Linked DNA regions of Drosophila melanogaster. The protein of the gene in region 3 interacts with the protein of the main gene of each other region in a pairwise test. Each region holds a gene or a part of one and is shown on either strand. Other genes may lie near its edges.

Region 1 (4,853 bases), about 14 Mb from region 3:
CCCAAGGATGGGGCATGCTGATGAGCAGGGTTGCCACTCAAAAAAACAACGCCGCCTCATTTTGTGTTTCATGCAAATTGGTACACAGCGCGTATACGTAGCGCAATCACGAAAAGATGTGAGTCGTTTTTAATGGCGCAAAGCTTTTACCTAGATGACTCAGATGGTGGGCTATAATGATCTAATGAGTTAAGTTATTCAACTCATTAAAAATAACAATTAACAATTTTTAAAATTAACAAACAGTAAGTATCCTTTTAAAACGTTGTTAAGTGCAATGCAGCCAAAACCAAGCTTTAGATCTTAAAAACCTTAAAGCAATTTGAAAAATTTATTGCTCTTAAGTTATAAAATCAGCAACCCGATAAAGGAAAGTCCTTGGTAATTACTTAACGACAATATGTTTTTGGGATTAAAAGTCCCATTTGATTTTCTTCTAAAGCTGCTGGGAAATAAAACCAAATCGATGTGCTCACAAATCTCAATCTCCCTGCAAATTCAAATGATTCACTTTGTTTTTATAACCAATTTATAGTTCCGTTTTTTTTTTTTTGTGATGAGCACTGGAAACAAAACTGTGACAACAGCAGAACTGCCAACGATATTACTTCGTAAGAAATATACAGAGATAATGCCACACAGAACACACACAATCAATATGGGTACGGGAGAAAAACAATAAAATGGAAACATCAACTCGAGAAGTCATCGATAGATGGATGGCAGGAAGGAAACGGAAAGGGACAGGAGGAGCAGGATGGGCAGGAGGATAAGGAGGAGCTGGTGGACTATCGCTGTTTGCCTCTTGGTTTGCCTTTTTTTTGCTCGCCCGGACAATGACAACAATGAGTAGCAATGAACCAAAATGAATGAGTCTATAAATAAATGAATGCAGCGTTTCAATTTCGGTTCAATTGGTCCGAAGCAAAGACAAAAATAAATAAGAACGAACGAACAATTCCACCAATAATGGTAAGCAATGAAAAACCTGCTATCAACGAATTTATACAATTGATCAAAATTGTATTTTTCAATAGTTTCTTACGGAAAAAATTGATAGGGACTTCAAGGAATTTCATAAATTCAAGTTGAAGCTCAATAATATTCTAGGCTTTTGCAGTATTTAACTTGATATTTTGATTGAAAATTTCAATCATTTTGCAATACAATAGATTGAACTTGCTGATATTTTCAGATCTTTGGGGTTAAATGATGGACTCACCACGCAGAACTTCTCGCTCTTCTTGGTGCACTCCTTCAGGTAGAGATGGGCAATGTCCGTGGTGTAGTTGGTGCAGGGCGTAATGGAGCCCACGCCCTCGTTGTACTGGCCGCACATGTGGCACTTGAGCCCGTCGGCGAATCCCAAGCTGCCGCTGCACAAGACGATGGCCACCAGAATGGCCAGCGTTTTCACATGGTAGCTGGACGCAATCGATCCTGGGGCTGATGAGGATGTTGAATGCATATGCATTGACGGGGCCTTGTCCTCGTCCACGTTCACCGAGTTGACAGCTGCTTTTGTTGACATTGCTTCTTGGTTGCCGCTCGACATTTTCATATGAGTTCTGACCTTTACCGCAGAGTTCACACTCACTAACACACTGGCACACACACACTGGCGAGTTGGCGAACTGGCGAACTGACAAATGGGCAGAATGACGAACTGACAAACTGCACTCACTGAAATCGCAATTTTCACTTTGTTCCTCTCAGTGGAATCGTTCCGCTTTTTGGAAGACTTTGTTTCTACTGTTGTTAGTCGGTTAATATATTAGCTTAATTGTTGTTTTCGTTTATTTATATTGCTTAAAGGGTTCTGCCAAAGATCTTCGACGATGTTCGTGCTAAAATTGAAATATTATACTATTAAGGCAATCATTTCGTGTTGTAGTTGTGTTATTTCTACAATGCAAAATTCCTTTTCAATGTAGTCAATCAAAATTTATTTTTTAATGAGAAATTTTATAACATTTTCAGAAAGGAGTGACAACTATTGCTGTTTTTTTGCAGCTCAGGATGTCGCGTAAATCACAAAAGCCTTCAATGCTCTGGGAACTTTTGTTGCATGCACCTTTTGTTTGGAATGTTACAAATTGCCAGCAGATGCCACGCCCAGCTTTCCATCTTTTTTTTAGCCTATAAGCATGTAGGCCACGACCGCACGGGGCCACACGTTTTTCTCGAAACTCGAAAAATTGTTTTCAAATTGCTTTTGTTGTAAGTTAAATGCGCGAATGCGAGTGTGTTTGTGTGTGTGCGTGCGAGGCGGGGGAGGAGGGAAGAGGTAAAGGGGTGTTTAAAAGAACTTTTCTATGCGTTCAGCGTTGAGTGTTTCCACGAATTTTTCCGAAAATACTTTGAGGAACGGCAGGAGCCAAAATCGTATTACGGATCTCATTGTGTTCTTTTGTTGCCTACTTTTGGGCTTTGATTTGATTTGCTGAAATACATATGAGGCTCCGGGGGAAAACTGGGTAAAACTGGGTAACTGGGGGCTGGATCAATTTGGGGCTTGCAGTTCTGCTCTTTTATTCCGCTCGAGAATCAGCAATCCCTAGTATCACGCATACGCCGTGTGGCCCTCGCAGTGGCAGCAGCAGCCAATTAACAAGTCATTTCTGTTCTTCCTTTTTTACTTGTTTCTGTTTTTTAATTAAACGAATGAATGCAATGAGTTTTGGTCCGTCATAATGGGCGACCTTCCGCATTCGGTGCTATGGCAAATGCAATATTTTTTGCACATTTTTGGCCGCCTCAATGGCAAGCGTAATAACACAAAAACAGCAGAAACATCGTCGACATGATCTTTGGATTTGAATAAATAAGAAAAACTGTGTTTTATGCTCTTCAAAATATTTCACAAGCGTTTGTATAAATTGCTTTTTCATGAGATTTCAATCGAGATTTTCGATTTATGTGTTTTTTCTTTTCTTTTACACTCTGAATTCAAACACAAAACTAACGGACACAAACTTTTGAATTATTTCAAACTGCGTCCGCCAAACCGTGCGTTCCGTCTGAGTTGAAAATGTTGACTGCAGTGCCAGAAGTTGAAACCGCGGCCGTAGAACCATCAGCATGAAGAAGCATCCGCAGCAGCAGCAGCAGCCGACGGGGCGGATGAGCGATTCGATTCGGGTCGGGTGACTTCGTATTGGTCCAGTGACCCAGTGCTACTCAAACTGTTTACTTCTTCATTTCAGTGCTAATGAAGGTCGGCAGCACAAATATTTGTAGTCGAGGGAGTTGCAGCCATCCCTAGACCATCGAAAACCGTAATAAGGGTGATGAAATGTATGGTTTTCATTGGCACAGAAAGTACATAGCAATCCAGTTGGAAGCCGCTTAATTCTTTTGTTCTTACTATTAATGTACTCGTAAAAAGTAAAAAATAATTTAAAAATAAATCAAAATTCAATTCGTCCCTAACAATTAATATTACGTTAAATTATAAATGCGTACAATCATTTTAAATTACAGTTTGATGAATACCAGAACCTAGCGCCAATTTCAACTACAGTTTGATGAACACCATAAGTCCACCAAAGCACTGCTTTGCACTGCTTGCCTAGTGATAACTAAAACCACTGCTTTGGCGCCAAATCAACGTTGTTTCATTAGCAGCAATAGCAATATGCTAATTTTATAGTTAAGAATATAATTCCTAAGATTTGTGGCCCCTTAACGCCTTTATAATAATGGCACAGATAATTTGCTTATCGCCCCCCAAGGAACAGGTAAATACTGCCAATCTGATTATTTATTAAGTGCTTTAATTTTCAATTTATTGAACAATATACTTTGTGACTAAGCCGATATGATTTGGTTGCTTTTGATCCAGTCAACGTACTGGCTAACCTTACAGTAGACACCCGGATAGGGAGCCACGGTGCAGGGCTTAATGCTCCACGACACGATGCCCACTTGCTGGCCATTGTAGATGAGGGGTCCGCCCGAATCTCCACTGCACTGTCCCTTTCCTCCTTCGTCTACTCCTCCGCATATGTGATATTTGGGATCCGTTTGGCCATTGTGCCGGCTGGTGCACTCTTCATCCGAGTAAATCTTCAGGGAAACCTCCTGTAGGGTGTCCTGCACACTTCCATAAGTCTAGAAAAGATCACACTATGAAATAATCCTATTTAAAATCATATTTTCCAATCGAAACCCACATCATTGAGACCCCAACCGATGAGCACTCCTTCGACTCCAGCATCCGATTGAGGCACAGCAAAAGCCAGAGCTGGCAGTTCCACCGGGGCCACAGAGACGCCATCGAACTCAAAAGGTTCCTCCACCATCAGCAGCGAGATGTCATTTGCATTTTGGCGAGTGGGATCAAAGTCTTCGTGCTGGATTATCTTCTTTATGCCCACCACATTCGGACCCATGGCACTAATATTGGTCACTCCAAACTGAATTGATAGGGTATCCGCAGGTCGACCATTGGTGCAATGAGCAGCGGTCATCACAAAATGTTTTGAAATAATAGAACCACCGCAGGAATGCGAGCCATCGTAGCTCCTTAGGGATACCTACGATTTGGAACAGAAAATATAGTATCTTGACATTATTAATTAAATATAAATAATATTTAATCCGAAAATACCAGAAATCCGTTGATTAAGTAATTGTCCTCATTTGGGACACTTCCGGTATATTTTAATCATATATCCTATTTGTATACTTTTTTTAAGGATTATATTTCACTTAACATTTTCTTACCACGAAAGGATATTTCAGCACACTGGAGTCCGTACCATTGACCACCCTTGATATGGAAGGCGCGGCCTGACCAACCGTAGTTACGGCCAGGATAACGATTAAACTCAGACTGAGATCTTGATTCG
Region 2 (3,278 bases), on a different chromosome or scaffold from region 3:
AGTCTCCATGCAACTGCAGTTTAAGGGAAACCAAAACATCTGTGTCAATAATGTGTCCAAATCATAATTTTTCCGCAGGCCAATGACCAAGCTAAGCGGTACAACAGTCTGAGCAACCAGTGCGCAGCTGTCTCACCTCAACAGGATCTAGTGAACTTCGTCCGGCTCCTGGCCCAACCATCGCAGGCCCAGAAGATTCCCAGACGGCTCTTTGCATCGCCGCAAGCAGAGGTCGGCGAGGAGGCGGGCGACCACAACGTGAGTAGTAGTGCATATAACACCTGTCCGGCGGACTAAAGTGATTGTTTTTGTGGGCACCTGTCCGCCGCAGGAGATGACGCCCTGCCTGCGGAACGAGTTGGTCTTCGACCGGCACTCCACACTGTCACAACGCTCCGCGTTGGAGTCGCTGAAGCGGGAGGCCATCGAATTGGAATTGCAAATACGTCAGCTGCAGGTGAGATGAATAATCCACAATAATACACAAAATGATAAAAGCTCACAGTACGATATCGCAGCCATGTCGGTACTTAAAAAAAATGGTTTGTTATGTTTCCAAAGATTTTATTTGAATGGGTGGCCAATATCACAATTGTTTTTTTTTTCTGTTATCCTTTAACTTTCACAAAAAACTATGTAAAGTCATACAATTAAAAAACCGCTTATATCTGTTCGGTATTCTCGATAGAACTGCACTCTTTGCCATCTGAAGTGTGCATTTCGGTGTATGAGTTACACTCATCTTGCTTGTCTTGGAATTTACAAATTAAAGATGCGACTATCAATGTGAAATAGCCCTCCAGAGCTGTTAGAGGTTATATTGTTTATTTTTTTTGCAATGACTTCACGTTTTGGCACTTACTCAATGATGGAACTATTAGAAAAGTTTGTGCAAAATTTGGGTTCCTTAAGTTATTATTTATATTCGATATGAGAGTGGTGAATACCGTTATATAAATCCAAAGAAAGAGGCAAACCTGGTGGCCCTTGACGAAAAAGTATGGGTATTAGCCTTTATATTCGAATACCATCTGTTGACTCTCACCCATTTGCTTCCAATTAGCAACAGCAGAGAATTGAGAACAGTAACCAATCCGAGTCCCATGCAAAAACGATTACTTGTATGATAAAGCAACATTCTTTTGATTATTCCTTCCCTATCGATTTTTGTGATCCAAAAGGGATCAGGTATCATATAACTTGGCACTGATTGATTGGATAAACGATATATACTGAATATCTGTATTACGCTCACCAAAGCCTCAAAGCCCGCTATAATCCTGCATCCTTTTTCCAAATCGAAAAAGTAGAAGAAGCTCTTCAATCTTGGGAGGGCCTTACAATTGAGCCTTATGTTGTTCCAATGCTGATTTTCCGAAATGCGGCGATTTCCTTGGCAATTCTCATTAGAAGACATTTTCAGGAAATTGCTTTTAATGATAGTTAAATATATGTTATTTGGGGTATTGCCTATGAAAGCTTTTAACTAGCCTTCTTTTACAAGTAGATCTATAATATTACAAATACATTTTATTCTTAAAAATTGTAAACTTTTACAAGATCTATTACAAAAATATTTATTTAAATAATCAATTTGACTGGTTACTTTTCCTCTCGTAGGACTCCATCGAGGCTCTAAATCGAACGCAGACCCGTGGAATCGAGGGTCAGCTGTACAACAAGGTCAATGAGCTTCAAGAAGATTTGTCCATGAAGAAGTTCGACCTGCGAGCCAAGCAGATCCATTTGGCGGCCATAAGGGCTCAGGTGAGTTTCGATTTAGTCGGGGTGAAAAGCTATAAAGTTTAGCGGGAAAATATACCACGATAAAGCTGGAAAAGCAGCAAAAGAAACCACTTCGAAGTTAAGTTTATGCCATGGAAAAGCTTTCACTTAGCTTTCCACAGACCTGTTGCTGACAGCTTTTTGGGTGAACTTTTCATGGCCGAGATCTAATGAGTTCCATTAGGCGGGGTCGGGACGCCCGACACGCCCCCCGTTTGCACGCTTGAAAGTACAGATGAACTGGCGCTCGTATGTAGGTCAAACAGCTGATTGGCGACTGCGCATGTGACCCAAGCGTTTCGCCATCTCCCTCGCTTTTTGGAGCACTGAAAGCCGCCAGCAGGAGCCAACTGTGGGTCAGGTTCGTCCTTCGCCTTTCGCTTAGTCCTGCGGTAGATTAGCTTGTGCGTGGTCAGTGCGGCTGTTTGGCTTGATTTTGTCCTGCATTTGCTAGGTCCCTGTTTTTTTTTTGCGGTCCTCACAAGAGAGTTACTCAGTCAAAATTACACCGTGTGCTGTGCGATTTTCTGTGTTTTCTGGTGTGACAAACTATTACTGCGTGGGAGTTTGGGAAAAACCATCAGGCTTTTGACTGTAACCTCAACCTCTGGGCCTGCAAGTGAATCAGCTGTTGCCGAACAGGGCTCGGAAAAGTCACTTCAGAGAGAGCAAGAGAGAGACAGAGAGTGAGAGAGAGAGAGAGAGAGAGAGCGCGCGCGGAAAATTGCATGCGAAGCGTTGCCAGACATTCGAGCCATCTCCCGATGTAGCTGTTTATAAAAGCAGCGTGCAACGGTCGCTCCGAGTCAGTCACGTGCTTGCACTTCGACGTATACGTAACGCGGCTCGCCAGCTCCGCTCTTGGGTGATCCGTTCGACAAATTAGCCGTAGCCGTAGTGCCGTAGCCGTAGCCGTAGCCGTACTTCCGCAGCCGTATCCGTATCCGTAAACGCGCCGTCGTCGTCGTTTTTCGTCGCGACTGAGGTGCGATTGGCTGCCAATCGCGCAATTGGAGGGGCTAGCTAAGAAACCAATGCAAACGAAACACAAACCTTAAATCCAAATAAAATTGAAATATATTAATATATATATATCCCGAAAACAGACACCATTCATATATATATATATATCCTCCTAATATATATGCATAATTTTAGAGCGCAGTTCAGGGCAGGCTTTTCTAGGCGAGTTGTTCTCTATTTTGATAGCCACACACAAGATAAATTGAATTGAGTGCAGCGCGTAAGTAACCAAACGATGATCAAAATAGTAATGCAACCAACTAGTCGACAGTCCATGTAAAATAACTTAGCTTTATTAACCAATCACGCATACGCACCGTGCGCCCAACGAATTCGAATCAAAAAACAAATAGAAAAGAATATAAATAAACAAAAAACGAATTAATGTAGCACTGCCAGAATTACTTCAAATCTTTTGCCTGCCTTCTACAACAAATTTCTAGCCAAGTAGTCGAAATTCGTGGCCAAGC
Region 3 (4,033 bases):
CAGAGCAAACTAAAAACGATAATAACTAAAAAAGTAATTGTTAATATTTATGCGCTTGCGACGGCACACAAACACAAGCAAATAAACTATGTACAATGAAAATATATTTACTAACAAATGTTATTTTTAACCAAAGCCATAGAGGTCAGATCTTGGGCTCCTGCCCGACCAACTGATCTGGTCCCTCATGTAATCTATAAATCCAAATATTTAAATTGAAACCATGCATAACAAGTATTATATCAGACATATGAGTATTTTAAATATGCCTAAGACACATTGTATACAATGACTGCTAAACCGACAAAACAAATCGTTCTCGTGAACGACAAATAATACGAATAACTCTGGTAAATGAACCCTCGCCAGAGGGCTGACAATATATGTACATTAAGTTAAACATTCTGCTGGCTAAGAAGGGAATTAACAATACACAAACTGACATATACATGTATGGGAATCTAAAAACACACAATAAAAGAAATAACAGATAATAAAGGACACACAGACCAAAAACTCATGTTTTTTACAATTATTCAGCGTGTATTTTGTGCTACTTTAAAGGACATACTGGCTAAACACACTTTCGAGTGCCGTACAAAAAACTCAACGTACAAAAACGATTACCGACTAGCTTAAAATTCTGTTCAACAAATACGAGTACACGGATTGCAAATACAACGGCGGACCGACTACTTGTTCAGTCTTCTCTTGGCAAAGATCTGGTAGATGCCCAGGCCAGCGGATAAGGTGCCAATAGCACCCACCTGCAGGGTGGACAGCTTGCCGCCCCACAAATATCCTTTCGGCAGCGTGCTGACGGCGTGCACAAAGTCGAGTGAGATCCGAACGATGGACACCATCTCCAGGCGGTGCTTGGTCAACGTTTTCACATCCAATCTATGGATTTGGAAGGTTTGTTAGCTTTTATTGGATGTTTTCGGCTGACGACCACTTACTCGTTTATATTATTCGTTCGGTTCAGCTTTTCCTGATTCAGTGAAAAATTCCGCATTGTCCTAGAAGATGCAATTTAATTTGAAAATTCAAAGCTGACGATTCGAATAATTCTTCTGTACCTCATGAGGTTCAGGTACACCGAAAGCACCCAGAATATGGAGTTGACATTGTCCCAGTTATCCGCATTCTTGACATCCACAATCTTGTGCTCGGCCAGCCAGCACACCTTCTCGATGGGATAGTAGAGCAAATCCACAATGTTGGCCGTCACTCCCAGCACTTGCATGACGCGATCGGGCTCATTCTCGCCCAAGCCATACTCCAAAGCATATTGGATCATGGGTATGTCGTCGATGAGACGCAGTGTGGCTCTCGCACCTGAGATCCTTGAGCTGGCGGTGGCGTATCGCTTGGCTAGTTCCGGATTCCGCTTGGCATGGTAGCCAGCCACCAGTTTGGCACTGTAGCACAATGCCTTCATCACCTGAAATAGGTATTTAATTTCATATATGTAATAATTGTTCTGCGCAATTCGTTAAGCCGTGTGTTTGCTCTATCACGAGAGTTGGCATCGCTGTTTACCTTTGCCTCTACCTGACCCCAATCGCCAGTCAGCCCTGCAATTTGTGGAATTGCTTGGTTGTCACAAACAGATAAAATACTATCAGCGATAAAAAGAATACAACGAATGCCACAATCATCTCGTGTGATGGCCGCCAGTGGAGTGCTCCTGGTCGTCCGTCCTGGCCGGAATGAGTTGTGGGTGGTTTCATTGTTTACCCATTAATGGTTCAGTTTGCTTGCTTTGCCATCAATGAATTAGTTATGCAATTCGGAGGAATACTAATGTCGCTATACGACTAATTTATGTAAATATCCTATAGTATTTCCAAAGTTCGTGACCACCCCATTCGCTGTTTACAGCCACATAATATATTATATTATATTTTCAAATGGTTATCAAGTATAACAAATTATTTGTTCTAATTAATAAATCTAAAATACTTTGAACAATATTTTATCGTATTCAAGGTTCGATTTTTCTATTAAAATAGAGATACACTATACAAGATTCCCTCTTTGTCTGCACTGTATACACCCCTTGTAGGGGTATATAAACTCGCGATGGTGGAAATGTGTGGATCGCGTGTCTCCTGATGGGCGGCAGTCCAAACAAACCTTTCGTTCATAACGAATTATCCGCTTTATCTGGTAGCGGCTTAAAGGTTTGCCGGCTATAGTATTGAGCATTATCTTGACTCGATCGCCGCCGAACTGCGACTGATAAGCGAAAAGCGAAATACAAAATCCATTGCGAATCAGAAAGAAGTAAGGCAAGGTCCAAACTGCTGTGGCTTCCTTGTTCGAGACCCAAAGACCAATGCCAACATCGATGCAGCAACAACATGGAAACCTGTTGGTTCAGTTTCGATTTCAAGCGAGCCCCTCAATGGACCAGTCCAAAAAGGAAATAGAAACCAGTCAAAATGCCACGATGCATTTTTTTAAATTTGCGCATACGAATTGGGAAAAACACTCGGTTCAAACGTAAACAAACAGGTGTGTTTTCAATTAATTGGAAATTTACTCGGCTGTGCGGCTCTTCTATGTTACCTTATCTCGCCCGCCATAGGAATCGATAATATCACAGAACTCGTTCACAAACTTTGTCGTGGTGCCCATAATGGCTCGTTTTTTGAAGACCAGGTACTGTTTTATATCACGTAAAAACTCGAACTGAGATACCGCAGCGAAAATACAAGAAATTGTCAAGAGCGCTCGGGAATCCAACAACACAAACAGCTGACTTTCTTCAGTGGTGACAATAGCCAAATAAACTAGCTAAGAATAGAGAATATAATAGAGCTAAAAATAAAAAGCTAGTTAATATAAATAAAATATAATATAAATATAAGTTAAAAATGTAAAAATAAATTTAAAATTAAAATATTTCAATATCAATATTGTTATAAAAGAGAAGCCAAATAGCCATCACTGACGAAAACAATTTTGAAAGAACAGCTGTTGCAGCCGCTTAAAATCGATGAATGCACATCGATAGGACAACCCATCTCCGCTGTCAGCACTATAATCGAACGCATATCGGACGCACTGCAGGACGGGATCAGGATACGGAACAAAGCGAGGCTAACACGCAACGATGAGCCTGCCCAGCGCCAGCAACCACGCACATGCTGCATCGCCCGTCTACAGCAACAGCAATAACAACAAGTCGAGCGCGAGCAGCAAAAAGACCTCCTCCAAAAACGATTTGCTACGCTGCGCCGTGGGACTCCTGCTGAAGCAGAAAAACTACGTGGTAAGTGAATAATCTTCAAATATACAATTCCTCAGAGTGTTCAAATATTCAAACCCGTAGAGCAACGAACGATTTCGGCGGTCGGATTTTTTGCTGCTGCAAAACAAACAGCAGTTTGCTGTCAACAAAATGCTGGATACGGATTTGCACGGTGGCAATAGCTTCACCTTTTCAAATGTCCAGGTTATCACCAACAACCAGCACACTGTGGACCAGCAATTTGGTCGGTTTTCGCAGTTCGTGGAGGCCCAGGCCGAACCGCTGCGTCTGGAAATGAAGCGCTTTTATGGACCCATGCTGTGCCACTTCTATCTGGATCTGCTCAAGGCTCGCGAACCGCGTGGCGCTGTGGAGTTGTTGCGCAAATATGCTCACTTGGTGGCCCCCGTGGATATGTACGATGCACCACCACCTACCAAGATCAACGGATGCTCCACTACGGCCAATGAGTCCACTTTTAACATACGCTTCGCAAAGGAAGCCCAGGACACTGGGGACACGGAACTGGACTACTTTATGCGCCTGGTGCAAACCCTGAGTGGCTACACACGGCTGGAGGCAGCAGAGTCCGATGACACAGTGGCCCATTTTCGATCTTCGAAATACGAACTACATACTACAGCCGTAGTTGTTAATAGGATATGCGCTTATCTCCAACGACGGGGCCACGTTTTAATTATGAACCTACTCTACACCTGGTTGCATGTCCATATAGTGGAGAATGAGCAGCGCGCCTTTAGTGAGGATCACCTG

What was found.
Region 1: the proteins of Pex11c (region 3) and CG8861 interact in a two-hybrid assay, tested with the Drosophila melanogaster proteins (one large-scale study listed by BioGRID).
Region 2: the proteins of Pex11c (region 3) and CG30472 interact in a two-hybrid assay, tested with the Drosophila melanogaster proteins (one large-scale study listed by BioGRID).

What each region holds. Positions count from the first base shown.
Region 1 is NT_033777.3:9,325,466-9,330,318, forward strand, and holds the start of CG8861 (uncharacterized protein), read right to left. Parts: upstream 3,047-4,853; 5' UTR 2,977-3,046; intron 1,867-2,976; 5' UTR 1,556-1,866; coding exon 1,223-1,555; intron 1-1,222. Other genes in the region: CG12951 (uncharacterized protein), read right to left, coding at 3,811-4,113, 4,176-4,538, 4,729-4,853.
Region 2 is NT_033778.4:15,422,639-15,425,916, forward strand, and holds CG30472 (uncharacterized protein), read right to left. Parts: upstream 1,502-3,278; 5' UTR 1,418-1,501; coding exon 1,046-1,417; intron 987-1,045; coding exon 863-986; intron 806-862; coding exon 663-805; 3' UTR 547-662; downstream 1-546. Other genes in the region: Stacl (Stac-like), read left to right, coding at 79-258, 332-457, 1,621-1,767.
Region 3 is NT_033777.3:23,257,088-23,261,120, reverse strand, and holds Pex11c (peroxin 11c), read right to left. Parts: upstream 2,242-4,033; 5' UTR 2,212-2,241; coding exon 2,140-2,211; intron 1,445-2,139; coding exon 1,080-1,444; intron 1,020-1,079; coding exon 960-1,019; intron 901-959; coding exon 693-900; 3' UTR 519-692; downstream 1-518. Other genes in the region: wda (will decrease acetylation), read left to right, coding at 3,122-3,280, 3,341-4,033.